Alligator mississippiensis: one gene and its partners. The protein of the gene in region 1 purifies or fractionates together with the protein of each later gene. This does not show direct contact. Links are inferred from orthologs where the notes say so. Each region holds a gene or a part of one and is shown in the gene's direction. Other genes may lie near its edges. The genes, in order: USP22, TAF6L, ATXN7L1 and TADA2B.

Region 1 (7,159 bases):
TCCAGCATTGAATAGGAATGGGCAAATACTGCTCTGCTTAGATATGGATTATATTAATACTGAAGTATTTTTTTAATTGGAAGATATTCAGCCCACTCAGTATAAACAGTACTGATTACAGATTAGATTTGCACTGGCCTCCATCCTCTTGAGCTACCTCCTGAGTGGTCTTGCCTTCTCTCTTCTGTTTAATGGATGCTTGCTCCCACCTGGCTCTCACAGGGGTAAGGAGTAGCTGACTGGATGAGTCTCTGTCCCAGCCTTCATGTCTGGAGAGCTGTAAACCTTCTGCAGCAGATGACTAATCCAACCACGGTGCCACACAAACAAACGGTGGCAGTTGAATGCAGAAACTCAGAACTTGGTTTCATTGCTACCTTTGTATAAAAATGAATGAAGCAGTTTGCAGCTGAGATGTTGCAGACCATGCTGGAAAGATCAATATGAGTGAGACCTCATGTGAATGCAGGATCTACTAGTGAGTTTCCAGGTGCCCTCTAAAGACTTGGGGAGAGGAGGTATTTGGGGCAAGGTGGTGCCCCTTTTTCCATGAAGGCTGATGCCTGCCTGGCAGTGCTAGACTGGGCCAGTCGGGAGCAGTGAGAGTTCCCTAAGCTTTGGTTTGCTGCTGACAGAGCAGACTAAGGGATGGGTGGCTGGATATCTGAATAGCCTAGCTATGTTTCAAAAGTTTTGAGCTTGCCAAGTATGGCTGATGTTCAAACTATTTGGCAAATGATTGAGCTTGCTCGTCTCCAGCCTCAAAGCAGATACTCTTATTTACATGAGTGAGTTTCGCTACCTTTCTCTAGAAATGTGCTTTGTTACCAGTTCCTTGTTCCTCTTGCAGCACTGACTGTCAGGAGCAAAAACTTTATTGCAGTCACTGGGCTGCCTTCATCTGAAGATAGATGAGAGGGACAGCTACTGATGAGATAATGTGACACATACGCTCCTACCAGTGAGCGTGCTGTTTACAACATGTAGTTTGTTTCCAAATGATCACAGGTAATGTGCTGGTTTAATTCACAGTGATGAGAACAAGGGGAGAAGTTTAACTAGTTTTAAGGCTATGGGGAGGAGGCAGGTTGTCAGATACTGCTAGGGATTTGATGATTGGTTTCTGAATTAAAACTAATTGGTAACTTTCTTTGATGGCTCTTTTGAAGATGGATGAGAAAGATCTAAGAGAACTTAGCTTTATCACTGATTTACTTCTTCACAGATGATGTCTCAGTGCCATCATAGCATGCTCGCATTTTCTTTTGAGGAGATAAAAGAGTTGTTGGATTAGTAAATGTACAGGATCTATATTTTCAGTTCCTTTGTCTTTATTAGGGATTTGGTAGATCCTAAGATCATTATTATTAAAAACAGCTTATGACATTTCTTAGGTGAGATATCTCTTTCAGATACATCTGCTGTACACTTGCTGTGGTTTTGTTACAATTGAAATTTATGGCAATTATTGTTAACAGGAGGATGGGTCATTAGTGAGTGCACACGCAGTCTTTTCTCACTGGCTCTTTTCATGGAATTAATCCTGGGGCATCTTCGCCCTATCTGAAAGGGCTTTGTTTTAGTTCACATTTGGACCCCACTATGCTAACCAATGAACAAGAGAATGAAAGAATGAAGACACAAATGAAAAGACAGTCCCTGCTCCAAAAGGCTCACTGTCCAACTTTAAGGCAGGAGATGACTGGTGCATCCACACAAATCAAGGAGTACAAGGAAAGATCGAGAGCATATTTGGTCATTGCCCTCAGGTTTTTGTAGGTGACATGGCAGTGCTGGGTTTGAAGGAGGACAATGTGGAAGCTTTGCAGGTGTTTACCGGGAGCTCTTCCCAGGCATGAGGAACAGCCTGGGAAAAAACAGGAAGGGTTAGTCAGTACTCTGGCTTCTTCCTTATTGTTCATTACATTTATAAGTGACCCCCTTGGACACAAAGACTGTGATATCATGGCAAGCCATATGGTATTTTGGCGAAATATCTTAACATTGAACTATTTTTATTGGAATCAACAGGGTGCCTCACAGTTACAGGGGTGTCTACCCACACAGAGCTCATTGCAAGACTAGTTATGGCTCATCACATCTGTGATGTATTTAGGGGGAGTGGGTGGTTTCAGTGGTGTAGCACCCAAGCAACCATGGTTGGAAGCAGTGTGTTTGCGTAATACAGAAGCAAACACTCCTCCACAGGGGGAGGGCAATGGGGGAGCAGCACACTCAGCAGCAATTCTTGTTACCTCTTTAAACAGAAGCACGAAGCTTGCATTCCCACGGTGCTGGCCTAGAGCTAGACAAACACAACATACGTTACAAAGGGTCAAAGGAGGGACTTGCCCTCACTCTTACCCACCTAGACAGACCCTTCTGGAGCATTGCAATACAACCAGGTGTGCTAGCCAACCCCAGCCCCTTTGCGCACAAGGGGCAGAAACAAGCCTGATATTACTGACCCTTGCAAACCTCTAGTCTCCTGGATACTCTTCTCAGAAGATACTTGTGCATAAGCAACCTCTGTTTGGCTCGAGAAACCATTGTCCTTAAACACTGTTTAGAATAAGGCATATCAGCAGAGAAACAAGGAATTACACCATCCATGGAGACTGACCTGCTGTTGTTTTAACCCTAGGAAGTCGCCCCCAGATCACAGGTGTTGCCAGGGCAGCGTGGGTAGTTCAACCTGCTGCCGGCCTGCAGCGAAAGATATAATTCACTGGGGCCGGCTACATCCAACTTTTTATTAGAATTCAATCCCACAATTATTTTAAAATAGAAGGTTATGGTTCTATGCAAACAATTTGCAAATACGCAGAACAGACTTAAGTGTTCAGCAGTTTCTACACAATCATTTCTCTTTCTTTTACCAAAGAGTAGCAGCTCCAGGTAACATAGGACATAATTTTGCCCTTGGAAACACAGTCGCCACTCTCCGATTTGAAGGAGCTGTAGCAACAGACCCGAGAATAGAATTGGTTCTCATTGACAAAAACAGATACAGCACTTTCAGCCGAGGTCACTGCCCAGGGTTCCAACAGGAAGTTCTTAATAGTGTACATTAAACAAGACTGACAAACTCGGCGCTGTATAGCCCAGCCTTAGCACGACTTCTCATATTGCTATGGGAAGATGAAAAGTCTGGTTCTTTGCAGCACCCGCCATCTGAAGCAGCCTCCTACCGCTTTTGAGAAACCTTTGCAAACAGCCTGTCTGTTTCCTCCCAGTTTCTCTTCCCTATTGCTGTTAGCTCCGTAGTGCAATACAGCCAAAGAACAGAGCGTAGCCTCAAATATTTGCATCCTTCCTCAGACTTCTCATTTTCCCGCGCTCATTCACCGGTCAAAACGATGCCCCATTTGGTCGTATCGGGGTGCTTCACGGTTGGAAACGCCGCGAGCACCCGTTGTCACAGCGGTCCCTAGAATGAGACGTCAGCCGCCTGGTACCCCTGAGTTTCACCTGACTTTGCCAGGGCCCCAGGGGCCTGTAGGGACAGGCCTGCAGCTCAGATGGGAAAAAACCCAACACAGCTCCAGCCCAACCCTTGCGTGAGAGCCATGGGGGGAAGGCGTGTTGCATGCCAAGCTGGGGCGGGGTGCCCCCTAGGTGGGAGCTCCTGGAGGGACCCTCCCAGGGAGGGCACAGTACACTGCAATGGTGGGGTGGGGCTGCAGTGCACTGTGGCCCTGGCTGGGGGAGGGGGGCAGGAGGCAGCAGCAGCCCCCGCCCCCCTGGCAGGAAATCACTGGGGTAACAGAGAAGCTGCAGGGACAAGCGGATGTGACAGCAGCTCTGCCCCCACACCTTAGCCTGCTGCTGTGGGCGGGGCCGCCTGCCCTCCCCCTCCCTCCCAGCCAATCCAGAGTGGCAGCCGCCTCCGCCAATAGCACCGCGCGCCTCGCCCCGCATCTCCCGCCCCCTCCCCGCTGTTTGGCGCCCCGCGCTGCCCATCCCCACCCCGCGCCACCAATGAGTCGCCAGAAGGGGCGGGGCGGCGGCGGCGCCGGAGTGACAAGCCGCCGTCCAATGGGCGCGCTCCTCCCTTCCCCAATGGCGGCGCGGCCGCCCCCCCCCGCGCTGCTCGTTGGTCTGTCCCACTCCGGGCCTGGCGGGCTAGGTTGAGTTCGCAGCGAGGACCATTAAACACCGCGGAGGGGGGGGGGGGAGATTTAAAGAGACAGGCGCAGCGCGGCGGCCGGCCGGGGGAGCGGCGGCGGCGGCCGGGCGGAGGACAAGAGGCGCCCCCTCCCCCCCCGCCGCCAGGCCCCCCGCGCCCGCCGGCCTCCATGAGGTAGAGGCGGCGGCGCCTCCCCAGCCCCATCTTTGTGCGGCCCGGCCCGGCCCGGCCCGGCCCGGCCCCGCGCTTTGTTCGGCGCCGGGGGAGCCGCCGCGCCCGCCCGCCCGCCCGGGGGCCGCTGAGGCGGCGGCTGAGGCGGCCCGGATTGATGTGGGGGGTCTGACATGAGTCCGCCGGCGGCCGGGTGCTGCCATGTGACCGGCTTCAAGGTGGAGAACTGGAAGCAGAACCTGCGGGCGATCTACCAGTGCTTCGTGTGGAGCGGCTCGGCCGAGACCAGGAAAGCCAAGGTACCCCGGGCCGGGCCGGGCGGGGCGGGGCAGGGCGGGGATGGTGCGTGCGGGGAAGGGGCGGCCGGTGCCGATCCTGCCCCTCTGCGGACACCCCCCCCTCCCCCTCCCGGCGCCTTCATCCACAGCCTTGCCCCAATTGTGCAAGGGGGGGAGGGGAGGGGAGGGGAGGGGGTCTCCAAAAACATCCATTGATCTCTTTATTTCCTCCCCCCACCCCCTGCGAGACGACCCACGCTCCCCTCGCCGCCACTTCTGACTTCAAAATGACTTTGCAGGTTTCTGGCGCCGCTGCGAGGGGGAAGCGCGAGCGTCGCACAGGTAGCGGCCGGGGGGGCGCGGGGAGCCGGTCCTGGCGGGGCGCGAGGGCCGGGCAACGGGAAGAAGTCGTCTGACTCATGCGCCGTCTTCCACTTGCCAGATTTTTCTTTGAAAAGAAACAGTCGAGGGAGCGCACGAGGAAACGGAGGTTTAAAGCCGGTCCCTCGCTTCCTAGTCTGGCCGTCCTAAAATAAGACTGCGGGCACATTCGGGATCTCTGCTCCTTTGAAGCGCTCGGTCCCGGGCTTGCTTTCTCTCGTGCCACGGGGGAGAAAAGAAGCCGAAACACAACTTAATACGTGGGATGGGGCTTGCGTGGAGAGGGGCAGGCGGAGGAGCGGGACTTTAGTTATGTCTAGTGAAAGCCCCAAAAGCAAAGGCGGGGTGGGAAGGCCGTGCCCGACCCCCGGCGGGGCGGGAAGGCCGTGCCCAACTGGTACCTGGCGTGTGCCGTTGCTGGAGGGTAACGATTAGTTTTGCCTCATGATGTGATCTCGTCTGTTCCCAAACTTCTACCGTTCCTGGGGCATCGACACGCTTTTCTGCCTCTGTAGGTTGACCCCACATCCTTGTACCTTTTAGTGAATACTTTAAAAAAAATGAGTGTCATTCTTGAGGAGCTGTGATAAACTCCAGGAGTACAATATTTATTTTTCCTGCAGGCTATAGTGTTTTGCACGTCACTGCTTGAATGCCAGTTGGAAGTCTTCGTCCAGTAGCGTGCCATATTTTTTCCACCCACATCTTTTAATGACTCTCTTTCCTTTTCCTCTTTTGCTCCTTGTATGGCTGGTTGTATAAAGGAGACGAGTTCAAAGGGACAGTTCTTCTGCCTTCTGAAGGAAAGCATCAATATTTCATTGATTCTTTAAGAAGCTAAAAAATCAGCATTTTAATGGGTACCAATAGATCGGTCTGGAAGTTGTTGGATTCTAGTCCATGTGAAACATGTGGAAATACAGGGTGAAATCTTGGCCCTGTTGACTGGTGAGGCTGGTATCTGACTTGCTGACTTTAATTGCGTAACCTGATTGAATACTCAGTCACCAATAATCATTTCACCTTCTTCTAATACTTGGGTATGTACCACTTGGACTTTTTTGTAATGAAATTATCTTTTCTTTTTGCTTTATTGTTCAAATTCGGAGACCGATGGTAATAGCTTTATGTACATGGAGCTGAATGGCCCCAGCCGCGGTTGTGCCCCACCCACCCATGTCACATTTCTTTGCCAATTCTTGTTTTTTTCTCTCTCAGCTGGGTACACGCTGTACATTTTTGACACCTTAAATGTTACTAGAAGCATTTTTTCGGAAAGTCTTCTTACGGCCTAACAACTAGCAAACAGTTCTGTGTTGTTCTGCAGTCCGTGGCTATGTGTGGGGCATAGTTCTCATGTTTAAAAATCTCTCTCTGTGGATGAGACTTCATTATTAGTCCTGGTCAGTTGGTTGAGGTAGAGTAAAAATAATAATAACAACTTTAGAAAACGTATCTCGGTTTCCTTGTATCCAGGCAGCGAGCATATAGCAGAGAGAAATATACATCGAGAAATGTGACTTGTTTGTCCTTATAGAGATTGCTCCAAACTCCAATTGGACGGTAATAGGAAAATTCAGTGACTAAAGCCATTCTTGGTCAAAAGAGCCCAGCTGCACACGTTGTGTTGCACAGTTGGCTATCTGGTGATAGTGGAACGGTCACATTTGGTCTTTAGATTTCTAGGACATTGATGTTCTGTGTCTTTTCAAGGGCTGAGTCTTAAAAATCCAGATAGCAATAGAAACTGCAGGGGGCAGAAACTGTCCATTTCTGCTGCTTTACTTGGTTACTTCTACTGCTTACTGCATTATGCTTTGAAAGACCATTTCAACACTGTTTGCTTCTTGCTGTTTGTTTCCATCTATTCTTTCTTTTTCTCTCTCTTTCTCTACAGATTTGCATCTGTATGTAGTCTTCAGCTTTTAATCCGGTGCACTCTCTAATATGATATATTTTTACGATTCTAAAGATGTAGCTTTCTAAAGCTGAGTATTTTCCAGTTATATTTTTAATCAGAAATAAGCAAAGGCTGTAATACATGCAGTTTTATCAGTTATAACTGATTGATACATCAAGTGGGCTCCTTATCTACAGGCCTCTAAAATATTCGTAGAGCTCTGAACCTTTGTACAGGGGGTTTTTAACCAGTGGTATAACATGCAGTTGCACCATGGCAAAAACCTTAGTATAGCTATGG
Region 2 (6,905 bases), on another chromosome or scaffold:
AAGTTCAGCCACAAGGACTCGGGGCTGTGCGGCGACATCTCCCTCAACAACCGGTAACGCGGGCTCTCCGTGGGGGCCTGGGGACTGCTGCGCTGGGAGGGGCAGGTTGTTGAGGCAGCTGCCACCGTAGAGGCAAAGGTGGGAGTGGGGGCTGCCCCCCCTGACATTTCCCAACCCCCACCCTCCCCAGGCTGGGTCTGTGCAACACGCAGTTCCTGCAGCTCTGCACTGAGGCTGACGAGCGAGTGCGACCGCTGGTCTACGTGCTGCGCTACTGGGCCAAGCAGCAGGGCCTGGCGGGTGAGGATCTCCCCTTCCCCCTCTCGCTGGGGGCTGTGGCTTTGTCCAGGGCTCTGGGCTGGGCCAGTCTGGGGGAGAGTTGGGGGTGCAGGACACAGCCCCCCATCTCACAGTTGTGTCTGCCCTCTCAGGTAACCCTCATGGAGGCGGCCCACTCTTCACCAACTATGCCCTGACGCTGCTGGTGATCTTCTTCCTGCAGACGCGCTCCCCACCCATCCTGCCCACTGTGGCCCGTCTCCAGCAGCTGGCAGGTAGGGCATGCTCTGTGCCCTGGGGCTGTGCATGTCTGTGCATGGGAAGGCAGGGGCTGCTTGGGTCCAGGAGCACCAGGAGGCCGGGCACCAGTAAGAGAAGCAAAGGGCAGCTCTGTGGCGAAAAACGTCCCCTTGAGCTTGGCATGTGAAGCCTGGCTGGTGCCCACGAGAGAGCCATGTGCCCTGCCCAAAACTAGCTGCAGTTACACGGGCTGCCTGGAGCTGCCACATGTGTGGGTGTGTGTGTGTGTGCTTGTGTGCGAGAGCATGAGCCGGGGGTGGAGGGTGCGTGCATGTACATGCATGTGACATCCCTGTACCCTGAATCCAGCAGCTTTCATGCTCCATTTCGTTGGCCAGGAGCCCATGAGGTGCCAGGCCTGGCAGGGTCCCAGGAGTTGTATTCAGCCCTGTCCTTATCTTGGAGCAGGACAGTCCCAGCCCTGCCTGGTGCCCTTCCCACCTGCTCCAGGAAGGCCCCAGGGCAGGAGGGGACTGGCCGCCAGGCCCTGACCTTGAGTTAAAACAAAAGCCGGATGCACCACAGCCGCCTCCCTTTAGCCTTGGCCTCCATGATCTTGGGCTTGGGAGCCTGAACTAGAAAGAAACCCTGGGGTGGAAAATCCAAGTCCCAAAAGGACCAGGGCTTTTGGGGGAGCTCGGCTTGCATCTGGCAGCCCCCAGACACCAAGGCACAGCCTCTCCTCTGGGTGTTACCCCTAGGCTGGTTCTGGGGGCTTTGATATGATCCAGAGAAACCAAAGCAAGTTCCTCCCAATGATGCACCGGTGTATTGGGATGCTGTGCTCTGGTTTATTGCATGCCAGTTATTGTATGCTGGTTTACTGGGATACCAACAATCGGGCCACGTGACCCAGAACAGCTACATCCAGCAGAGACCACGCAGCCTCACCGCCAGCGGATGAAGACTCGGTGCTCTCAGAGTCTGCCCTCGTGGTCGAGGCGAGTTGTTGTGGAAGAGTTTTATCCCATTCAGGTTCAGATGTCTGCATTCCCGCCCGTTTCTCTACGACAGCAATCTCTTGGCTCAGGGAACAGGGAAACTGAGTCATGACCTGTGACTTGGCCTATATATCTCTGAGCTAATGACCTCTTGGCACAGGGAAACTGAGTCATAACTTGTGCCCCGTAGCCCATTTCCCTGAGATGATCTCTAGGCTCAGGGAGCGGGGAAATGGACCCTTGCTTTTTCCTGGGGTTGCCCGATTAGCACGGGAGTGATCCCTGACCAGTGCATCAGGGCTTCCAGGGAGCTGCCCCCCCAGCGCCTGCCATCTCCCACCTGCTGATGGCAGTGACTCGGACGGAGCTGCTTCTGGGACCGGAGCCTCCATGAGGAGGGAGTGTATGGACACCCCCAGCACAGCACTGGGGGGTGAGACCTCCTTGACATGTGGTCTGCGTGGCGTGGCTGGGGATCGCTAACCATCTCCTTCCTTCCAGGGGATGAGGAGCGGATGGTCGTGGACGGGTGGGACTGCAGTTTCCCCCGGGACGCGGCACGGCTGGAGCCCAACACCAACACAGAGAGCCTGTGTGAGTGCCGTTGGGGGGGCTGGGGGCAGAGGGGCCATGCAGGGATCCCTGTCCTCACCCCACTTCTTTCCTGCTCCCCCCAGGCGTCCTTCTGGCCGACTTCTTCCGGGAGTTCGGGGAACAGGAGCTTTCAGGTCACGTGATCTCCCTGTGCGAGGGCCGGGTGCTGCCCCTGGAGGCAGTGGCGGGTGCGGGGCTGCGCCTGGGCCCTGTCACCCTGCAGGACCCCTTCGAGCGCAGCCACAACGTGGCCACCAACGTCACGGAGCGCATGGCCCAGCGCCTGCGGGTCTGCTGCACCCGGGCCGCCAAGTACTGCCGCAGCCTGCAGTACCAGCGCAAGTCTGCCAAGGGCCGGCCCTGGGGCCTGGTGCGCCTCTTCCAGCCTGAGGCTGGTGAGCTGGACTCTGACGGGCTGCTCCTCGCCTTGCCCTTGGCCCCGGCTGCCCGTCGGCGTGAGCTGGGCCTAGATCCCAGCTCCCGGCAGAGCTGGTTTGGGCACGTGTGCGCTGGCGTTGCCTTTGTGCTCAGAGACGTCTTAAAGTGCAGTTGCACGGAGCTCCAGCGTCAGCCCCTTGGACATGCAGAGCAGCTCCTGGAGCCCCCCGGGGCATCCCTTCAGCAGGGGGAGACGGGGGAGCCCCCAACCTCCCCAGCCCAGCAGCCGGCAGCCCCCAGGGAGCCTGTGGATGCCCCCAGGGAGCTTGTGGATGCCCCCAGCGCCCCAGGAACGCCACCGGCTGCTGGGCTCAAGCGCCCCCTGAGCGAAGAGGAGGGGATCCCCAGCCCTGTCTCCGTCTCCCCTGCCCGGAAGAGGCCGCGAGCAGAGGCCCTGGAAGAAGCAGGGGCTGTGAGCTGGAGCTGCGCCCTGTGGCACCGGGTGTGGGTGGGCCGGCGCCGGGTGCGGCGGCAGCTGCGGCCCCAGCACAGCAGTCCCCTGGCAGAGGCCGGCACCGAGCAGGAGGCCGCACGGTCCCTGGAGCTGGAGGAGAAGGTGTCGGCGGCCATTGCCCGGCAGGAGGCAAGCGGGGAGCCGCTGCTGCAGTTCACAGCCTGCGCCCGCCTGGACGCCCAGGCCAGCCTGCGCTTCACGCCTGCCCCCCAGCACGCCACGCTCTTCCAGGACTTCTACCACTTCCTGCACAGCTTCCTGCCCACCATGCTCCAGCGCTACCTCAGCCGCGTGGGGGAGGCCAGCCCGGAGCCAGGGCCAGTGCCTAGGACAGAGCTAGACCTAGAGCCAGGCCCCCCCCGCCCAGTCCAGCCTGGGGCTGAGGCAGACCCCCAGTGAGCGACTCAGCTGCGTGGGCTCAGGACGCTGGGACGCTGCCCTGCTGTGTGCGCGCCGCCTCCAGCTGGGGGGAGAATAAAGGTCCCGCTCTTGTGTCCCAACCCGTGTCCTGTCTCCTGTGAGCTGGGGGGAAATCTCCCTCTCTGTCCCCTCTGGGTTTGGGGTGGGGGGACATGGCAGACGTGTTTGCCCGGTTCAGGCTGATGCTTTGGCCCGGCAGCCTCTTCTGCGCACCGCTGCACGGTGCCCGTCTCCGCGGCTGCTGTTGGCAGAGCCCTGGGCGCCCCACGACCGGCTCTGGCGCTTGGTCGAGCTCAGCGCGGGGGCGGGAAGCTCTGAGGGCACCACGGCCTGGTCCCAGGGTCACCCCGCCCCCCAGAGGTGTGAGAAGGGAGGCGGGGCGTGGCAGAAACCATGTCCTGGCCCTTTAAGAGCTCCAGAACCACGTGGGTTTCGAGTGGCGCGGGCCCTTTAAGAGCCCGGCGTCACGTGACAGCGGCCCGCCCACGTCATCCCCAGGCAGCAGAGGGCCGGGGGTTCCCCGCTGGCTGGCGCGCGCCCCCGGGGGGCGGGGCCGGGGCCGGTCCCCCTTGGCGCGCGGCCGCGCACGTGTGTGCGCGCTATCGCGCGTCGTCCCGGCCATGGCGGAGCGCGACGAGCGCCGCTTCGTGGAGCTGCCCCGCGAGTCCGTGCGGCTCATGGCCGAGAGTGCGGGGCTGGGCCCGGAGCTGCCCGACGACGTGGCCGCGCTGCTGGCCGAGGACGTCTGCTACCGCCTGCGCGAGGCCGCCCAGGTAGGGGGCAAGCCACGCCCCCGGCCACGCCCCCCGCTTCCTCCCTGCGACCCCGCCCCGCGCTGCTCCCGGCTCCTCCGTGACCCCCATCGCCCCCCCCCAGGCTCTTTCTGCCCCCATCCCCACCCCCACAGCAGCCCCTTGCTGCACCCCCCGTCCCCCATCTCCCAGCACCCGCACCCCTGTGCCCCCCACACCCCCGTGTTTCCCCAGTCACCCCATCCCCCCCACCTCCCGAGTGCCCCCCGATGCCACCCCCGCTTCCTTATGCTCACCGGTGACTACCAGTGCCCCACGGCCCCGCTCTCCTGTGGCCCCCACCCGTGCCCCTGTGGGCTCCCCAGATCCCCGTGCCCCCGATACCACTTCACACCCGCCCGCGCTCCTCGTGCCCATCAATAACCCCGGTCCCGCGCACCCTGCCCCCCCCCCCCCCCCCCCCGTGCCTGCGTGCGCCCCTGAAACCACCCGCCACTCTCCCCAGGCCCCCCGACCCCACCACGCCCCGGTCCCCCCATACCCATTTGACTGCCCCCCACCCTTATGGGGGGGCCATGTCCCAGTGACGCCCCCCTTGCCCCCCACTGCCAGAACAGCTCCCAGTTCATGAAGCACACCAAGCGGCGCAAGCTGACGGTAGAGGATTTCAACCGGGCGCTGCGCTGGAGCAATGTAGAGGTGAGTGTCGTGGGGGGGCTGTATCGGCTGCCCCCCTCCCCCCCCCCCAGCCTTCGTGCCCCTGGGGGGAAGGGGGCTCGCGCCTCCCCCTGCCCTGGCTGACCGTGGCGGGGGGTCATCCTAGGTGATCTGCGGCTACGGCTCCCAGGACGCGCTGCCCTTCCGGCCGGTCAAGGAGGGGGAGCTGTACTTCCAGGAGGACCGGGAGGTCAACCTGGTGGAGCTGGCCCTGGCCACCAACATCCCCAAGGGCTGCGCCGAGGCGGCCGTCAGAGGTATGTGGCCCCCCACGGCGGGACCCTCCCCCCGCAATAGCTGGACGTCCCTGGGCTGTGGCTGCTTGGGGCTGGAGATGTCTCCCCTGCCCCTGGGCTCATCCTGGGTCTCTGCCCCCTGCTCCCAGCCCTGGGGGACTCTGGGGAACACCCAGGCTACCCCCTCCCCATCCAGTCCTGGGCTGGGGCTTTTGAGGATCATCTGACTGGGCTGTGGGGGATCAGCAGGAATATCTGACCCCCCCCCCCCCCCCCGCCCCCCGCTCACCTTCGCAGTGCACGTCTCCTACCTGGATGGGAAAGGGAACCTGGAGCCTCAGGGAAGCGGTAAGAGCCTCAGCATCCCCCGCCCCTGCACAGTGCCCCCCAGCCCCAGGAGCTCCCTGGCAAGAATAACATCCATGGCGCGCCCACCCCTCCAGTGCTGTGCCCCGTTCTGGTCCCTGCACCGCCACGTGGGGAGAGAGGAGCTGGAGAGAGTCTAGAGAGGGGCAACAAGGGATTAGCAGCCTGGAGGGGTTTCCAGAGAGGGGCTTTTCAGAGAGGCCTCAACACACTGGAGGATCAAACCAACAAAAATCTCAGGAAGTTCAACAAGGACAAGTGCAAAGGCCTGCACTGAGGACGGAGCAATCCCATGCACCGGGACAGGCTGGGGGTGACGGGCTGGGCAGCAGCTCTGCAGAAAAGGGCCTGGGGGTGACAGTGGGCAAGAAGATGGCTATGAGCCAGCAGTGTGCCCTTGTTGCCAAGAAGGCTGCTGGCATCCTGGGCTGCATTGGTAGGAGCGCTGCCAGCAGATCCTGGGCAGTGATTCTTCCCCTCTATTCTGTACGGGGGAGGCCACATCTGGAGTCCTGTGTCCAGCTGTGGTCCCCCCTCCCCCTACAGAAAGGATGTGGACATGGAGAGAGTCCAGCAGAGGGCAATGAAAATGGTTGTGGAGAGAAGCTGAGGGAATTGGGCTTAGTCTGGAGAAGAGAAGACCGAGGGGGATTGAATAGCAGCCTCCAGCTCCCTGCAGGGCGGTTGCAAAGAGGCTGGAGCTGGGCTGGTCTCAGCGGGGGCAGACGACAGGACAAGGAGTAATGGGCTCAGGCTGCAGCAAGGGGGTTTAAGTTGGATATTAGGAAAAACTTTCTCACTAGGAGGGTGGTGAAGCACTGGAACGGGTTTCCCAGAGAGGTGGCGCAGTCTCCATCCTTGGAGGTTTTGAAGACCTGGGTAGATGAAGCCTTGGCTGGGATGTTGCAGTTGGGGCTGGTCCTGCTTGGAGCATGGGTTGGACTGGATGTGACCTCCTGAGCTCCCTTCAACCCCCGTTGACTATGATTCTTTAGGAGGAGACACTAAGGAGGACGGGCCTGGTCAGCACAGAGCCAGGGGCTAGGATGAGGGTTTACGACCTACTCAGTGTGGGAGAGGAAGTCCTCGGGGATTTCTTGTGGCCTCTCTCTCACCAGGCACGGACAAGGGGTCGCAGTGAAATCAGCAGGTTGGCAGTTTAAAACCAAGCCCAGGCAGTTCTTGTCCCCCTGCCTGGAATTTGAGCGCGAGGCTCGTTGTCATCAGACGTCAGGGGGAGCTGGGAGTTCAGCCCCGTTCCCCAAGGGACTGGACACGTCCTTGGAGGAAAGAGGCATCAGTGGCTCTGGAGCACGGGTGCGAGGGGCTCGGAGTCTGTAGCAGAACTACCTGGATCCTCAATGCTGGGGGCTGCACTTGGGAGAGGAACAGGAAAATCCTGCCAAGA
Region 3 (7,057 bases), on another chromosome or scaffold:
AGCTAGTTTGCCAGTGCTATCTCTGCATGAGTTCAGTTACTGAACTACAAAGTCCCATGACTCATATTTAGATTTCCATTCCCACCAGGTGGGCACCTGGGCCTCTTCTGTAGCAGATAACCAATCTGGCCTCTAAAGAATCACTTCTATCCATATTGGAAGGAGTTGCTGTTGTAGTAAATCCATTCAAAAGTAACATTCTTAGAAATACTAATGAATCTCCTTCTAAACTGCTAAACTTTAATGGCTTTGTTACAAAGGATTGGCTTTACATAGTTCCTTTAAGACATTAAAGGTCATGATATAGCTGTTTCTTTTAATACTTTTACAGATAGTCTACATTGTATTTTATAAAAGTGCAGTAAGAAAGTTCAAACTATGTTTAATTTCTATGTCTATAAATTCTGTAAAATAATGCATACAGGTGAATCTTAACTAGAATCAAAGACCAGAGCATAGAAATGGGCCTTCACTTGGTTTTGGTTATTCTATGCTCCGGTCTTTGATTCCAGTCAAGATTCACCCGTACAGATCATTTTACAGAATTCACAGAACCAGAATCTGAACCTATGTCACCAGAGTCCTAGCCCAGAACTACATAAAAGCCATCTTTCTTCCATACCTGATGAATTGATACCTGGATTTAATTTTGCAATACATTTGTTTTACTGATCTCATTTTGTAGCCATGAATATTCCGTCAAGGGTGCCAAGTGAAGTTAAAGCTTTTAAAATATCTGTAAAGCAGGAAATATTCCTATAGGGTCACAGTTTAATTATTCATTTCTCAGTCAAATCTTATTTCTTTGTATTACCATGTTGGTCAGTTATGTTACTATTACAATGTTGAGACTGTTACAGAATAGTTTACTGTTGCTGCTAACATAGATATCCACAGGTGTTTGGGCTGAGGACATTTCTACTTTTGTATATTGGAATAATTACTCCATTTGATTATAAGGAAATTTCCAAGTTAAAGAAATGTCTAAATAAATTTTGGGATGTGTTCAATACTTTGTTTCAGCATCTTCCTTGGTACAGCATCTTCCTTGGTATTATCTGGTATAAATCATTTCCTGACTTGGGGTTTTCAATATTTTTTAATGTCCATGTTGTTACAGATCTAGTCCAGCCGCTCCTCAGGGTAGGATCACCCCTGGTTAAACCATCTCATTCAAGTGTCTTCCTACCATGCTCTTGAAAATGTCCAGGGATGGAGATCCTACAACTTATCTGGGCAGCCTGTTCTTCCTAAAGTTCCTCCTAATCTCCAACCTAAATTTCCTCTGCTGTAGTTTGCTCCTAGTCCTGTCTCCTACCGCCACAGAGAAAAGGGTATCTCCATCCTCTTTATAATCACTCTTCTGATATTTGGGGACTGTTATTAAATCCCCACTCAGTCTTCTCCAGACTAGTCCTAGTTCTTTCAGCCTTTCTTCATATGTCATATTTCCCAGGCCCCTAATCATATTTTTTTTACTGTGTGTTGAACTCTTTCCAATCTGTCCACATTTTTCTTGAAGTGTGGGGCCCAAAATTGGACACAATATTCTAAATGAGGCCTTAGCAGTGGTGAATAGAGCAAAAGAATCACTTCCCTTGATTTTTCAGGTGACACTCCTCTTAATATGACGCAGTATACTGTTGGCTTTTTTGCAACGAGCACGCTGTTGGCTCATATTCAGCTTATACACCTTCAAGTATAATAACATGTATTTCTAATGATGCATTTTGTAGGAGGAACAAATTCCTTTGTGCATGCCATGGAAGTGATTTGCTCAAAATTGACCTTCCTTGATTGTTGAGGTTTGTTTCTTTCCAGGAAGTAATCAGACATATTGCATCTTCAATTCATGCTAATTTTTCCTTCATATGGTCTGATTTTTGCTTCTGTTAAACCATGGATTGCAGCTCGGCAGTGTGTCATGAAAAGCAGCATGTAGATTAGTGCCATGTGTTGAAGTTGGAAAGTTCCCTCATAAATTTCTCTTAGTTTATGGCAGCTTGTATCCAACTGTTTTTGTTCCTCCCTTATTTTTAGTTGAAATCTTCCTTTTTTTCAGGTTAAGTGCTTAAGAATTGCTTTGCTGCTCTGAGGACTCTATATCATCTCATGGGGTGTTTGGCCATACATATTTTTCCAGCAACCTTAACTGGGTGTTCAGTCACCAGGATTTACTAGTTGTTCTCAAACCTTTCCTTTGAGTCTTGTCCTCAGATGTAGACCTTGAATAACTGGTAGAGGTTTTATGGTGTGATGCTTGTCTGGTGTCACTTGTTTAGCTGGCTGTTGTCTGTCTGACTCCTTTGACTGTTAACATTTATTTTGCATAAGCTTAAATTTATTGTATGATAGTCCAATCTCGCTTATAGCCTTTACTACATGTAAAGCTGTATCTTCTTAAGAGAGTCCATCATCCTTTTGTAGTGAGAACACATTGACAAAGGCCTTGACACATACCAAGGACTTTCTTTCCCATTTGTTGAAACCATAACTGAATTTAAGAGGGGTTTGGTAGGGAAGTACTTCCTTTTCAAATACATGCTTATTTTCCTTTGTGGAGGTTAAGATTGGTTCTTGCCTCATTTCTACCTGTATGCTTTGAATGTACTTGGATATTTTGATCCATGGCCATGCATGTTGGTTTTTTATGAAATGACATAGGAACATAAGACTGGAAAAGATCTTCTGGGTCTTCAATTCTAGACGCCAGCTGTTGTAGGCAGCCATGTTAAATAATTAATTTCATTTCATAAATTCACCAAGCATCATCTTAAAAGCTAGTTGTTTCTTTTGCCACAACTCTTCTACTAGAAACTGTCTAGAACCTCACTCTGATAGTTCAAATCTTGTAATTTCCAACCAAAATGTATTCATGGCCAGTTTATACCGATATGTTCTAGTAAGAACCTTGTCTTTTCACTTAGGTAATTCTTCTCCCTTCCTGGTAGTTTTAGGCAGCAATCAAAGCTCCCCTATCTGTTCCAGTATGTATTTATCTTTTTTGGAACACAGATGAACTAGTGTCCCAAATGAGGTTTCATGAGGGCCTTGTTCACCGGCACTAGCACTTCCCTTCTACCTACAGGAAATACCTCTCTTGATACACCCTCAGATAGCTTTTGCTTGTTTCCCAGGTGCATCAGGTTGGTGGCGCTCAGTCATCCTGCGGGCAGCTCGTTTTTCTTTGAGACATAACAGGAGACCTGTAAAACATTCCAGCGTCTTTACCCTTTGCTCTTGTTACAGGTCTCGGGGAACGCCGATCAGCCAGCCCTCGCAGCGCAGCAGGAAACACTCTCTAAATGCAATCAGAGATTTCAAGTTGGCTTTAAAATATTAAGGATGAGGTTCCTAGATGCCAGCTGCTTCTAGAAAAAAAAGAAGTGGTGGATGCCATTTGACAGGGCAGGCGAGGCCAAGGCTCTTTTCTCCAACGTCCACCCCGTCACGGACAAACCGCCGCCAGATCTCCTAGAACTGAACCTGCCCGCGCCGCTGCCACCACCCTCCCCAAGTGGTGCTGACCCAGTTGGAGCCAACGACACCGTCAGGTTGGCGCTCGCCCGAACCCCCCGAGAGTGCCCCTCACAGGCTCCCAGGAGAGCACGCATGACACCCACAACTCTCCCTGCACCTGATGAAGGGCGCCAGTGCCCCAAAGCTTGCAAAGAACAATTTCCCCAACTATTTTAGTCGGTCTAATAAAAGCTATCCCATCAAAGACGCTGGCCTGCCCATGCCCTCAGACCCACAGGCTACCCCCTCCCCTCCCAAGGCAGGTTTGCCCTCTGGGGGCAGCAACAGCTTCTCACGCTGGCTCTGCAAACTCCTCCCCGAGGCACTCCGGAGCCTGGATCCCACGCGATGGCCGGGAGGGTGCCCGCGGCAGCCCCGGCCCCGCCCCCCCCTCAGGTGCGCCCCGCCCCTCACCAGCGCTGCCCGCCCGGCGCTGCTGAGGGCAGCGGCTTCGCGGTGCGCGGTGCGCAGGCGCGGCGCATGCGCGCGGGGGGCCGGGGAGCCCGATCTGATAGGGAGCAGGGGCTGACACTACCCCCGTGTGGGCGGCGGAACGTCCCGAGGATGACGTGCGGCGTTCTCGAATCCCGTGCCTCGCTCGCCCGCTCGCCGCTGCCGGAGGAAACGGGGAAAAGCAACAAGGAGGCAGGAGCCGGAGCGGCGCCATGGCGGCCCTGGAGCGGCCCGTGCCCAGCCCCGAGGCGTTCCTGGGCCAGCCCTGGACCGCCTGGGTCCGCGAGGCCGCCCCCCCGCACGCGCACGGCGCCGCCCCCCCGCACAGTAAGGGCACCGCCGCGCGCGGCCACCGGCCGGGTCGCCGCAGCGCAGCGCAGCGCACGCCCGGCCCAGGCGGCCGCGGCCCCTGCCCCGCGCTGCCCCCGGGGGCCCCGCCCCGCCCCACCCGGGGATGCGGCGCCGGGCGGGACTGGGATGCTGCTGGCGGACGGGGGCGGGGGCCCTGCTCGGGCTGGTGCTGGTGCTGTGGCGGGGCTCCCCAGACGCGTCCCCTCCTCTCTTGACTCTCCACTTGGCTTCCCCTCTGCAGGTGTCGACGTAGAGGAGCCTGGAAAAGAGGGTGGGAAAAGCCGTGAGGTGATGAGGCTTAATAAAGAAGGTAAGTGCAGCGCCCCTGCCTCGCCCCACCTGGCTAGTCCTCCCCTGGCAGCTCAGCCTCAGCCGGGGGTTGTTGGGCCGGACGCCTTCCGCACACCAGGTCAGAAGAGGACACCAGGGAAGAAACGGCAGAGCTCGTGCTGGACTGGGGTCTGGCATGGACTTTTTCAGGGGCAGGCCCTCCGCGGAGGGCAGTGGGGGTGGGTGCGCACACGGTACGAACTGTGTAGCGGGTTTTCGGTGTGCTTTGAGCTGCCCAGTGAACTGCGGGGGCCACTTGCCAGTGTTGGCGGTATACATATACATTTATTTATATCTATAGAAAAACATATTTTTGCAAAAAAAAAAAAAAGAAAGAACAGGATGCCATCGCTCCGCACCAGCTTCTGAAGTAGAAACGTGACGAGGGCACGTACAGGCTGTGAACGGGGCACGAGGTGATTTGAGGTGAAAGTCGCCCTGCATACAGCAGTGGCCATGTTGGATTTCTTTCTAGGTTTTGTCCACTTTTATTTTTATTTTTTATTTTTATTTTTTTTGGCACAACCCTTCCCTCATTTCAGTGTGGAAGAGGCACATGCGTGCAGCACTGCACATTTTACACCTTCACCTCATTAGCAGCCACCGCTGGAAAGACACCAGTAAGGAGCAGGCTTTGCTTGCTGCAGAATAGGCGTGTGGTAATATTTAAATTGGCTCACGTTTTGACCGAGTTGCGCTCGGTTTCAGGCAGTCATGTGGTGAGCGTGATTACGCGGAGTTGTGTGGCCGATTCAAGATGGCAGCTAATTTGAGCGATTCTTCGTACTGAAAAACAGGCCACATCGATCCTGTGAGGAAAATTTAGGCGTAAGGTTGTCATTTAAAATATTACGTTTTCTGGTTTCATGAGTATGAACACAGATAAATCCCAGCTTACTCACATGTGCAAATATGCTATATTTAACAGGAGACCATAAGTTTGTAAGCAAAGCACCTTACATGGTGGATAGTAAGGACTGAAAAAGACAGATTTGTTTGTGACGTTATTTACTAAGATGAAGCTTGTGTGATGAAATTCGTGAACCAGCATTTTGGAAATGTTTGTATGTGGCTGCAAATTGAGGAAGCTGTGCTGGTCTGTGTTGGTTTGAATTAGGTTTTACAAAGTTTTAGCCTAACAGCCACCAAAATATTTTTGTGAAATTGGTTCATAAAGGACAAGCCCGTAGTTGTAAAACTTTTATGATAACATACGTAAGTTGAGAGAGATCCCATTTTTTATACTGGATACTCAAGTATTACAATAACGGTTTTTTAGAATATATATCATGGAATTATGTGAACTAGACTTTTACCATGTTGTCAATGTCACTGTATTCATGCTAATGTCAATACATGCGGGCGACTTAAAGGTAAAGAAAATGTTTCTTTTCAAGATCGTTCTTGAATGGAAAAAAATCTGGTAGTCATTAAATGAAAAGACTATCAAGAATGTGTGAAATACTTCAGTGACATTTTTTATTAACGTAATTTTAAAATAAACTCCTTAGCCAAACATATTTGATGGCACCTAAATAGAGGTTTGTAAAGTTGGGCAAAAATTCAAGGGGCTTATAGCTCAAAAAACTTTGACGTACTCTTTCTTGATTTTATAAAGAAGACTTTTGCTCTTTAACCTTATCTTCTGTAAAAAGTTTACTCTGTTGAGATTATATCCCGTCTTGGAAGAGCTCAAATGGCAAATCCATGGTTCAAGAACTTGACTTCTAGTCATAAGCATCCTCTGTTCAGTGCAACATGCAAATAGCTTAATTCTTTAGAATAATTCTATATAGTTGTGAGCTGTAATCTTTTCTTTTTCATCATCTGCAGTTGTGTCTTATGGATGACTAGGGTAGGTTTTTTTTGTTTTGTTTTGTTTTTACATATATACCATCCAGTAAAACACATTTCCAGGTATGAAGTGGAAGTCTTAAACTTTGTTACCGAAATAGTAGCTGAAAGGTATAACACATTAATAGCATTTTCACAGTAGTACAGTAAAATGCCGTTATTGTCTCTAATCAACCCCAGTTACATTTAAAAATAGAACACTTTAGAAATTTCTCACTGCTTCCAGATAGGAACTTGATTTGGGCATCTTTTGAAAGGATTTTCAACCTTGAATACATTAGCATGTGTTGAAATACTTGTGCCTTATTCATTAAGATAATAGAATTTTAATGCCCTACCCATCACTATAACTTTATTCCTTTTGTAAATCTTGAATTGGCTTGTGCTGCTCTTGTTCTTCAGGATTCTTTGTACTTCTGTTAACAAGAGTCAGATATGTAGAATGTACTGCATGCATGTTTGTAATGGTACTTGGGAGCGTAATATGATGTCGGATATACTTGTCTTCTGTGGTATGAAAGTGCTGTTTGGCTACAACCAAGAGTTGTGA
Region 4 (7,911 bases), on another chromosome or scaffold:
CATGTTAACACAGAGCTTGTGAATAAAGAGGATTTTTATCTCTTTTGACTTGTGCCATGTTATATTTTTCCTCACAGAAGAGGGATAAGGGTTTTATATTTATAGATCCCCTGGCATCACCTCATAATTTACAGTTAATCTCTTAGGAGGGTTTTAGAAGGCCACAAAGTTGCAATGGTTTTGTCACTGTATTGACAAAGAGGAAATACTTAGAAAGGTACATGAGGCTGTAGTGTAAATATTTCTCATTTGGGGGAGTTTTTTGGGTGTGTACATGTGCACGCATGCATGCCCAAATTATCTACAAACTCAAGAGCAAAGAGCAAATGCCAGCACAGAGGAGTTTTCCAAGGAAGCTCTTTCCTGCTGTCCCCATCACTTGTCATTTCCCATGGTTGTGAAAACAACAGGAATGTTAGCCCTTGATCTTTAGTCTATTAAAGTAAACAGCTTATGGGAAACTTTATCTTTTTAAAATTTCTTTTTAGTCTCAAAGAAAAATGCAGCTTGATTACTGAAAAGAAAATCCAGCCATCCTGGCAAGGCTTTGGGACCAAAGTTAAACTGGTTCAGTGAATAGGAGTAACTTTGCTACTCTGTTTAGAATTGGGAGAGTCGCACAAAATGTGGTTTCTCTTCACAAGTGGTATGGAAGAGGGCATAGGGATAAAACTACAAGTTGATCTACAAGTTACATGAGACAAAGTAGATGGGGCAATTCTGGTTCAAGGAATCTTTTACTTGTATTGTTACACCTTTTACCAAAATGCAAAAATAAACAAGTGCTTCACTTGCACAAGACTACTCTTTTTTTTTTAAGCCAGGGTAGTCAAACAGAGTACTTGGGCCACATCTGGCTTGCAGAGCCAGATCATATGGCTCACAGCCTTGATGGGGGTGAGGGAGGACCTTCTCATGGCTGCAGCCAAGTACCTGGGTATGAGCTGCTATGCTGCTGAGGCTCCAGCACTGAGAGAAGAAGCCTGGCACTGTGGCTTGTTCCCACGGCAGCCGAGCACCCATGACACCAGGCTTCTTCCCATGCTGATGCTGGGGCTCTGGTGCCATGGCTCTTGCCCAGGCATTTGGCTGCAGCTGCAGGGCTCCAGCAGCACAGCTGTCATTGGCTTGGCTGCCAGGAACCCAGGAGAGAGAAACAGTGCTAGAGCCCCAGCAGTGCCGCAGAAAGGAGACCAAGACTGCAGCTTGTTCCTGCAGCAGCAAAGTGCCCAGGCAAGAGTTGCGATCCTGGAGCCAAGCCCTAGCAGCATGGCAGTAAGAAGTCTGATACTGTGGCTTGTTCCCATGGTAGCAGCCAAGTACCCAGCCTCTTCATACCAGGTCCTGAACTAGCATGGTGAGGGAGAGGTCCTGTGGGCCTGATCCAGTCTGCAGGGGTAGCCAGCCCTGCACCACTGATCCAGCCTGCAGGGCTAGATGCTTTTGACACTTCTGATTTAAGATAATTTTCTTCTTATACTGACTAGTGATGGGTACAAAGTTATTAACTCTGCAGTAAAATGTATTTTAAGTAACACCCTACTTTTCAAACTGCCTCCATACTACTGCAGGTTTAGCAGTTAGTCGAGCTTCAGTACGTACAAATAAGTGTGACTTGTAGTGTGTTTTACTGCATCTTTTAACTGTTCTTTAAAAGACAGATCTTTTAACTGCTCTTCCGGGGCATCTGGTCAAATTAAATTCTAAGAGGAGGCAAGGCAAGACTTACTGGACCATATTGTCAATGCTAACCCTGTGTGGGATGGCTTAATAATAATAAGGCTCAAGTTCTCAGTACTGAACTGACCTGCTTCTTTGCTACAGACTGAATTGTGCCCTCTTGCATCCATTTTTAGTTGTGATGCCAATATTTGAAGTGAAGTGGTTCAAAAAAATAAACCCCATAAAAGATCTACCATAGAGATCATTTGGAGAAACAAGCAAGGGTAAGCCCCTGTTCCAAGCTTCTTAGCACCATGTACTAGTCTCGTTGCCACTAGTTTGGCCAATGCATTTCAAGACAAGTTTGTGTGCACATTTTTAGAACGGGACAGTAATGATGGTATTTTTGTTTTTTATTTTGTAATTGGAATGTTACAACCTCCGGTCTATCATTTCTCAGAAGACTTTCACGTATGTTGAATATGTAGTTGAAATTATCTAATGATTAATGAATCAGAGCTTCTGGAATTAAATTCTCCACTGATTTAACTTCTTAGCTGAGTCACCATGACTACTGGGTTTGAAATTTTAAGATCAACTATGAAATATTGTATTTTTAGTGTTGTGTTTTGTAGTGACCTTAAGCATCAAATCATTCTTTACCTTTAATTTCTTAATCGGAACAGCAAAGAAAAACAGTGTGTGTAATGCACATTCATAGCTTTAGAAATAGCTTTAAAAATTCAGTATTTTAAAAAAATGTACTTAACGACCAGGTGAGTATGCTTGAGTTTCCAAAAATGAAACTGAAACTGCAGAGGCCACAAGATGTGTTAATAGCAGAACCAGAAGACCTTTAGGTTGATTCGGTCTTTGCCAGGGGTTACAATGTCAGATATGTTGTTAAGTGTGAAATATTTCAATTAAAAAATGGCTAAATGTGCTTGGTTTCTTCAAGGGCCATTTGATAGGCAGAACTGCATGGCAGTCTCCTGCACAATAAATAGTAGTAAACATGCTTTAGAAAGGAGATTATTTTCCAGTAAAATATTTAGTTTATTCTTTTGCCTGTACAAAAAAAAATATATATTTGGTATTTCCCAGTACTTTTATTTGTAGTCTCCCCCACCCCCGGTTTTGGTGTCTCTAAAGATCTTGCCTCCCTCCGGTATCTTCACGGCGATAGAAAGGATTTGGCTTCCTTAATTTTTTTCTTGAATCCCTTGCAGGCAATGGTGAGACCAGCATGGTGCTGTTTCAGGTTCTCCAGCTGCTGATTCAGCACCTGAGCAGCATCCACCTTGTTCTCAAAGTCCTGCAGCAGCACCTCATTCCCCAGCAGGCCGCACTTCTGCTGCAGCCTCTGATTGTCTGCCCGTAAACGATCCCTGGCCTGCTTAGTTTTGGTCAGCACGTCTCTCTTCTGTGCCAGCACTGCCTCGATCTCCAGCAACTCGACCTTCTTCTCCTGGTTCTCGGCTTCCACGAACTGCAGTTTCTCTTTGAGCTGTGTCAAGACCTGCACTGTGGTGGTGACTTTCTTCCTGAGCTTCAGCAGCTCCTCGTTGCGCTCATCCACCTTCTCATTGTAGGTCTGGTTCTCGATCTTCAACTGCTCGAAGTCAATGAGGTGCAGCCCTTCAGCCAGCTCCTCCTGGGCCTTCAGTCTTGCTTCTAGCTGCTCAATCTTGTGCTTCAGCTTGATGTTCTCCAGGCGTACCTGAAACGGTGGGAGTGGGCAGAAAGGTGTGAGGATTTTCTGGCATCCTCACGCACCCCAACTCTGACAGAAAAGTACCTCACGCACCCTAACTACTGACAGAAAAGTACGGTAATGCGACCTTCCTTCCTTTCTAGGAGCTGCTGGAGCGCTGGCTACGGTATTTCCTGGCATCCTCACGCACCCCAACTACCGACAGGACAATATGGTAATGTGACCTTTCCTCCTTCCTGCCCAGGAGCTCATGGAGTGCTCGCTACCGTATTTCCTGGTGTAGTCATGCATCCGAACTAGTGACAGGACAATACAGTAACGTGGCCTTCCTTCCTTCCTGCTCAGAAGCTGGTGGGCTGCTTGCTGCCGTATTTCTTGGCATACTCAATCACCCTAACTACTGGCAGGAAAATACGGCAATGTGACCTTCCTAGGAGCTCATGGAGCGCTTGATACCGTATTTCCTGGTGTACTCGCGCATCACAACTAGTGACAGGACAATATAGTAACGCGACCTTCACTCCTTCCTGCGCAGGAGCTGGTGGGGCGCTCGCTGCTGTATTTCTTTGCATACTCACGCATCCCAATTACTGACAGGAAGATATAGCAACCTGACTTTCCTTCCTGCCCAGGAGCGCTTGCTGCCGTATTTCCTGGTGTACTCCCGCACTTTAGTGACAGAACAATACGGTAACGCGAAGCCCCGTGCTGCCTCACCTGGCTGATCTCCTCGTCCTTGCGCTGCTCGGCGGCCTGCAGGCGCTCCAGCTCGGCCCGCTCCCCGCCCGGCCGCCGCCTGCCCGTCGCCGCCGCCTCGGCCACGCAGGCCCGGTAGGCGGCGGCGGCCGCCCGCGCGCGGCCCCGCGCCTCCTCGCAGGCGGTCTCCTGGGCGGCCCGGCGGCGCTGGGCCCGGGCGGCTTCCTGCGCGCGGAGGGCCTGCAGGTCGTGCAGGGCGGCCAGGCAGCGCGCGTAGCGCTCCTCGGCGTCGGGCTCGGTCCGCGGCGGCGGCGGCTCGTCCGGCCGCTTCCCGCGCTGCAGCAGCAGTTCCCGCAGCCGGAACTGCTGGCGCGCCGTGGCCTGGCGCAGCCGCTCGCGCTCGACTAGCAGCGCCCGGTACTGCTCTACCAGCTCCGCCCGCCGCCGCGCCTCCGCCGCCGAGCCCGCTTCGGGGCTCTCGGCCTCCGCCTCGGCCTCGGCCTCCTCCTTCTCCTCCTCCTCCTCCTCGTCAGCCTCCTCCGGCTGCTCCATGGCGCCCTGAGACGCGGCGGCAGCTTCCCCCGTCTCCATGGTAACGGCGGGCGGAGCAACGGTTCTCCCCCCCCCACGAGGGCTCTGATTGGTTGTAACGAAGGGAAACCGGCTCGGCGTCGCTGCCCTCATTGGGGCGCGCGCTGTCGCCCTGCCCCGCCGCCCCGGCGGGATTGGAGGGGGCGGAGCAGGCCCCCCTGGCGCTCATTGGGCGGCCGCGGCGGGGCCCTACCCCCGGGGCGCGCGGCCATTGGCGGGGGCGGGGCGGCGCGTGCGCAATGTGGGGCGGGGCGGGGGAAGATGGCGGAGCTGGGGAAGAAGTACTGCGTGTACTGCCTGGCCGAGGTGAGCTCCCTGCGCTTCCGCTGCACCGAGTGCGCCGACATCGAGCTGTGCCCGGACTGCTTCTCGGCCGGCGCCGAGATCGGGCCGCACCGCCGATGGCACGGCTACCAGCTGGTGGACGGCGGCCGCTTCACGCTGTGGGGCGCCGAGGCCGAGGGCGGCTGGAGCAGCCGGGAGGAGCAGCTGTTGCTCGACGCCATCGAGCAGTTCGGCTTCGGCAACTGGGTAAGGACGCGGCCGGCAGCCGCTCCCGCAGCGTCGCCCGCGAGGGGAGCGGGAGCGGCCGCCCAGCCCGAGCCGGCCCCTTCCTCGGGGGTCAGGAGGGCATCGCCCCCGGGCTCGGCAGGGCGCCCCCTTTCCCTGAGGGGGATGTCTCCCTCCACGCGGGGCCACGGGAGCGGGCGGTGGTTCCCCTGCTTGACCTGGGCCCGTTGTCACCGGTCCACACACGCGTAGGGTGGGATCAGGTCTGGTCCCCCTGCTTGGGCGGCTGGGCTCGCGTAACCCCAGCCAGGCGCGCGCCCAGCCTTCTTTTGAAGGCCTCTAAGGTAGGTGCCTGCGCCGCGTGTCAGGTTTGTGGCACGCGCGCCCAGGCTAGCGGCCGCATCACACAGAACTTGAAGTAGGGGTCGCCCACCCCGGTGCGTGCCCAGTGCGGCACACGAAGACATTTTGCTCAGTCCTTGGGGTTGGCTGTGGGGGAGCTGCGAGGGCCGGATCCTTCTGGTGGCAGCCCCAGCCCCTTTCCCACTGTCCAGCTCAAGGTGCACGCGCACCACCCGGCTTGGGGCTCCACAGACGGCTGCTTTTGGTCTCCCAGATGCCTGCCACAGCCGGGCTGGGCTCTGGGCCATCCACTGCGGATCCCAGGCTGCTCGCGGCAGGGGATGGGGAGGCCGCAAGCAGCTGCACTGGGGTCTGCAGAGCTGTGGTCCAGCTCGGTGCCAGCAGCAGTGTGTGTGCGTCTTGGGACAGACAGCGGAGGAGGGGCTGGGATTGCGCTGCTGTAAGAAGGATCAGACCCCTCGCAGCTCTCCTGCCGTCTGCTCCCGGCACGCCAGCATCTTACGAGTTCAGAAAGGGTTTGTGGCACGCTGCCCAAAAACGTTGCTGACCCCTGGCTTAGATTACAGATTGTACGGGATAGTTTGGATAGGGATGATTGTGCCTCAGGCAGAGGGTTGCACTAGATGAGCTCTGGAGGTCCCTTCCACCCCTACGACTCCATGATTGTGATTGATTCTACCCAAACCATCTACCAATCTATTGTTTAACCTCTTGGTAAAATCCCCAGTCCTTGACACCATGGTGCTGCAGACCCTGTTGTCCCATGCTGCTGCCTCCTTCCTGCCCTGCCCCACCGCAGCATCTTGCACCCCAAGGGCTTACAGGAAGCTTGGTCATTTCCAGCACCAGAGCCTTTGTCGTCAGGTACTGACTTTGCCCCAGCTTCCAAAAGTCGGATGCTTCTTTCTGATGCCTCCGGCCTGCCCGTGCTGTCCATGCTTCTGCTTCGCTTGCATCTGTTTTCTTGACAGCTGCTAGGCTCATGTCACTGTGCAGCTCATGTGTGCAGCTGCTTTCTGGCTGTGGTGGGCAGCAGATGTTGGTGTGATGTCCAAGTGAAGTACTATGTGTCCACCTTGGCTCAGGAGACTGAGCTTTGGCAGAGCCTAAGATCTTTATGCTGAGGTAGAGGTGGGGGAGCACTTGGTTTCTAGCTCGTTCAGGTGAGTGGTAATCAGGTATGTTATCCTGAAGTCGGGCAGAAGCAGGGTAGGTGTGCCTAGGGTAACCAAATCAGGGTTGCATAAGTTTTCACGAGCAACAGCTGTCTCTGTTGGACACTGCGAAGGGACATAGCAAGCTATGCTGAAGCCAAGGTTGCAGATTGTGATTGAGGTTGTACCAGTGCTCTTGCTGAGACTTAAACCCAGATGTTCCCAGTTAGAGGGTCTTGCCTCTCCACTCAGCGTCAGGCTGATCACCACATTTGGGGTCAGGAAAAAATTTTACCTGAAGTTCAGATTGGTATGGACTGGAAGGTTTGCCTTCTTCTGTAGCAGGGATTGTGGCAGTCTTCTTTGATCTCTTGAGCCTGTATTAACAACCTTTGCAACAGCAGGGCATTAGCCACCATGGTCCTCCTGCTTTACATGCGATTTAAAGACAGAGGAGAAGAAGGGAGAGTGGGCAGTACTGAGAGAGGTGAAGGAGATGGCAGGAACAGCAAAGCCGTAGGATTTAAAGATAATCCAGGTAATGGGATAAGAATCTGTAGTCCCTGCTTAGACCGTATTTAACATAATACAACCTGTGGATGACTTTTTTGTTGTGCAGTTTTATGTTCAAGTCAGTTCTTAAAATGCCAGTGTTTAAGAATAGTTATTTGGAGCTCAGCAAACAAGGTTGCTACAGGGTTTTGTGTATTTCTGAACATGATGTCAGATGAAGGAAAACTAAGTGAATGGGATGTCCTGTTGTCTTTCTGAGTCTTTAAAAAACAAAGTAGCAGCTCCTGTGCAGGAAATGTTAACTCAAGATGTTGGCACTTGCAAAGTTGATGTTAACTGTTTCATTGTTGATCAGGGTTGCGGGAGCGAGGGACATTTCTGGAAGACTGTGCAGTGCCAGAGCAACATCCTTTTATACACAGTCTGATCTAGCTACATGCCATGCAGTGTTAGCTGATTTATTTAAGATACAAGCACAGCACTGTGGCATCCAAAGCTGTTCCATTTAATTTAGATACCTAGTAATGGAAGTTTTATCGTTGTTCATTTGTTTGTTCTTGGAAGGCTTTTGTCAGCCAATAGTTTTGTGATTTCTTTAAGCAACAGTTACAACAGCAGTAAAATCTGATCAGGGTTCAAGTTTCTCACAGTCTGGATATGTTTTGTCTAGCCTTGTCTTCTAATGTATAGAAGAGGAGAAAACTGAAC

Evidence for each region.
Region 2: the proteins of USP22 (region 1) and TAF6L purify together in Homo sapiens (affinity purification with mass spectrometry; 3 studies listed by BioGRID and IntAct, with this or other methods). This does not show direct contact. The link is inferred for Alligator mississippiensis from reciprocal best matches to the Homo sapiens genes USP22 and TAF6L.
Region 3: the proteins of USP22 (region 1) and ATXN7L1 purify together in Homo sapiens (affinity purification with mass spectrometry; 3 studies listed by BioGRID and IntAct, with this or other methods). This does not show direct contact. The link is inferred for Alligator mississippiensis from reciprocal best matches to the Homo sapiens genes USP22 and ATXN7L1.
Region 4: the proteins of USP22 (region 1) and TADA2B purify together in Homo sapiens (affinity purification with mass spectrometry; 4 studies listed by BioGRID and IntAct, with this or other methods). This does not show direct contact. The link is inferred for Alligator mississippiensis from reciprocal best matches to the Homo sapiens genes USP22 and TADA2B.

What each region holds. Positions count from the first base shown.
Region 1 is NC_081836.1:54,032,412-54,039,570, forward strand, and holds the start of USP22 (ubiquitin carboxyl-terminal hydrolase 22), read left to right. Parts: upstream 1-4,147; 5' UTR 4,148-4,473; coding exon 4,474-4,599; intron 4,600-4,900; exon of another isoform or gene 4,901-4,920; intron 4,921-7,159. UniProt on the Homo sapiens protein: Deubiquitinase that plays a role in several cellular processes including transcriptional regulation, cell cycle progression or innate immunity.
Region 2 is NC_081838.1:3,250,856-3,257,760, forward strand, and holds the start of TAF6L (TAF6-like RNA polymerase II p300/CBP-associated factor-associated factor 65 kDa subunit 6L), read left to right. Parts: upstream 1-3,903; 5' UTR 3,904-4,046; coding exon 4,047-4,199; intron 4,200-4,790; coding exon 4,791-4,877; intron 4,878-5,001; coding exon 5,002-5,152; intron 5,153-5,428; coding exon 5,429-5,479; intron 5,480-6,905. Other genes in the region: TUT1 (speckle targeted PIP5K1A-regulated poly(A) polymerase), read left to right, coding at 1-53, 191-300, 432-554, 2,022-2,114, 2,198-3,405. UniProt on the Homo sapiens protein: Functions as a component of the PCAF complex. The PCAF complex is capable of efficiently acetylating histones in a nucleosomal context. The PCAF complex could be considered as the human version of the yeast SAGA complex.
Region 3 is NC_081827.1:26,743,538-26,750,594, reverse strand, and holds the start of ATXN7L1 (ataxin-7-like protein 1), read left to right. Parts: upstream 1-4,049; 5' UTR 4,050-4,184; coding exon 4,185-4,299; intron 4,300-4,564; coding exon 4,565-4,633; intron 4,634-7,057.
Region 4 is NC_081825.1:25,916,946-25,924,856, reverse strand, and holds the start of TADA2B (transcriptional adapter 2-beta), read left to right. Parts: upstream 1-4,906; 5' UTR 4,907-4,924; coding exon 4,925-5,194; intron 5,195-7,911. Other genes in the region: CCDC96 (coiled-coil domain-containing protein 96), read right to left, coding at 2,837-3,382, 4,094-4,663. UniProt on the Homo sapiens protein: Coactivates PAX5-dependent transcription together with either SMARCA4 or GCN5L2.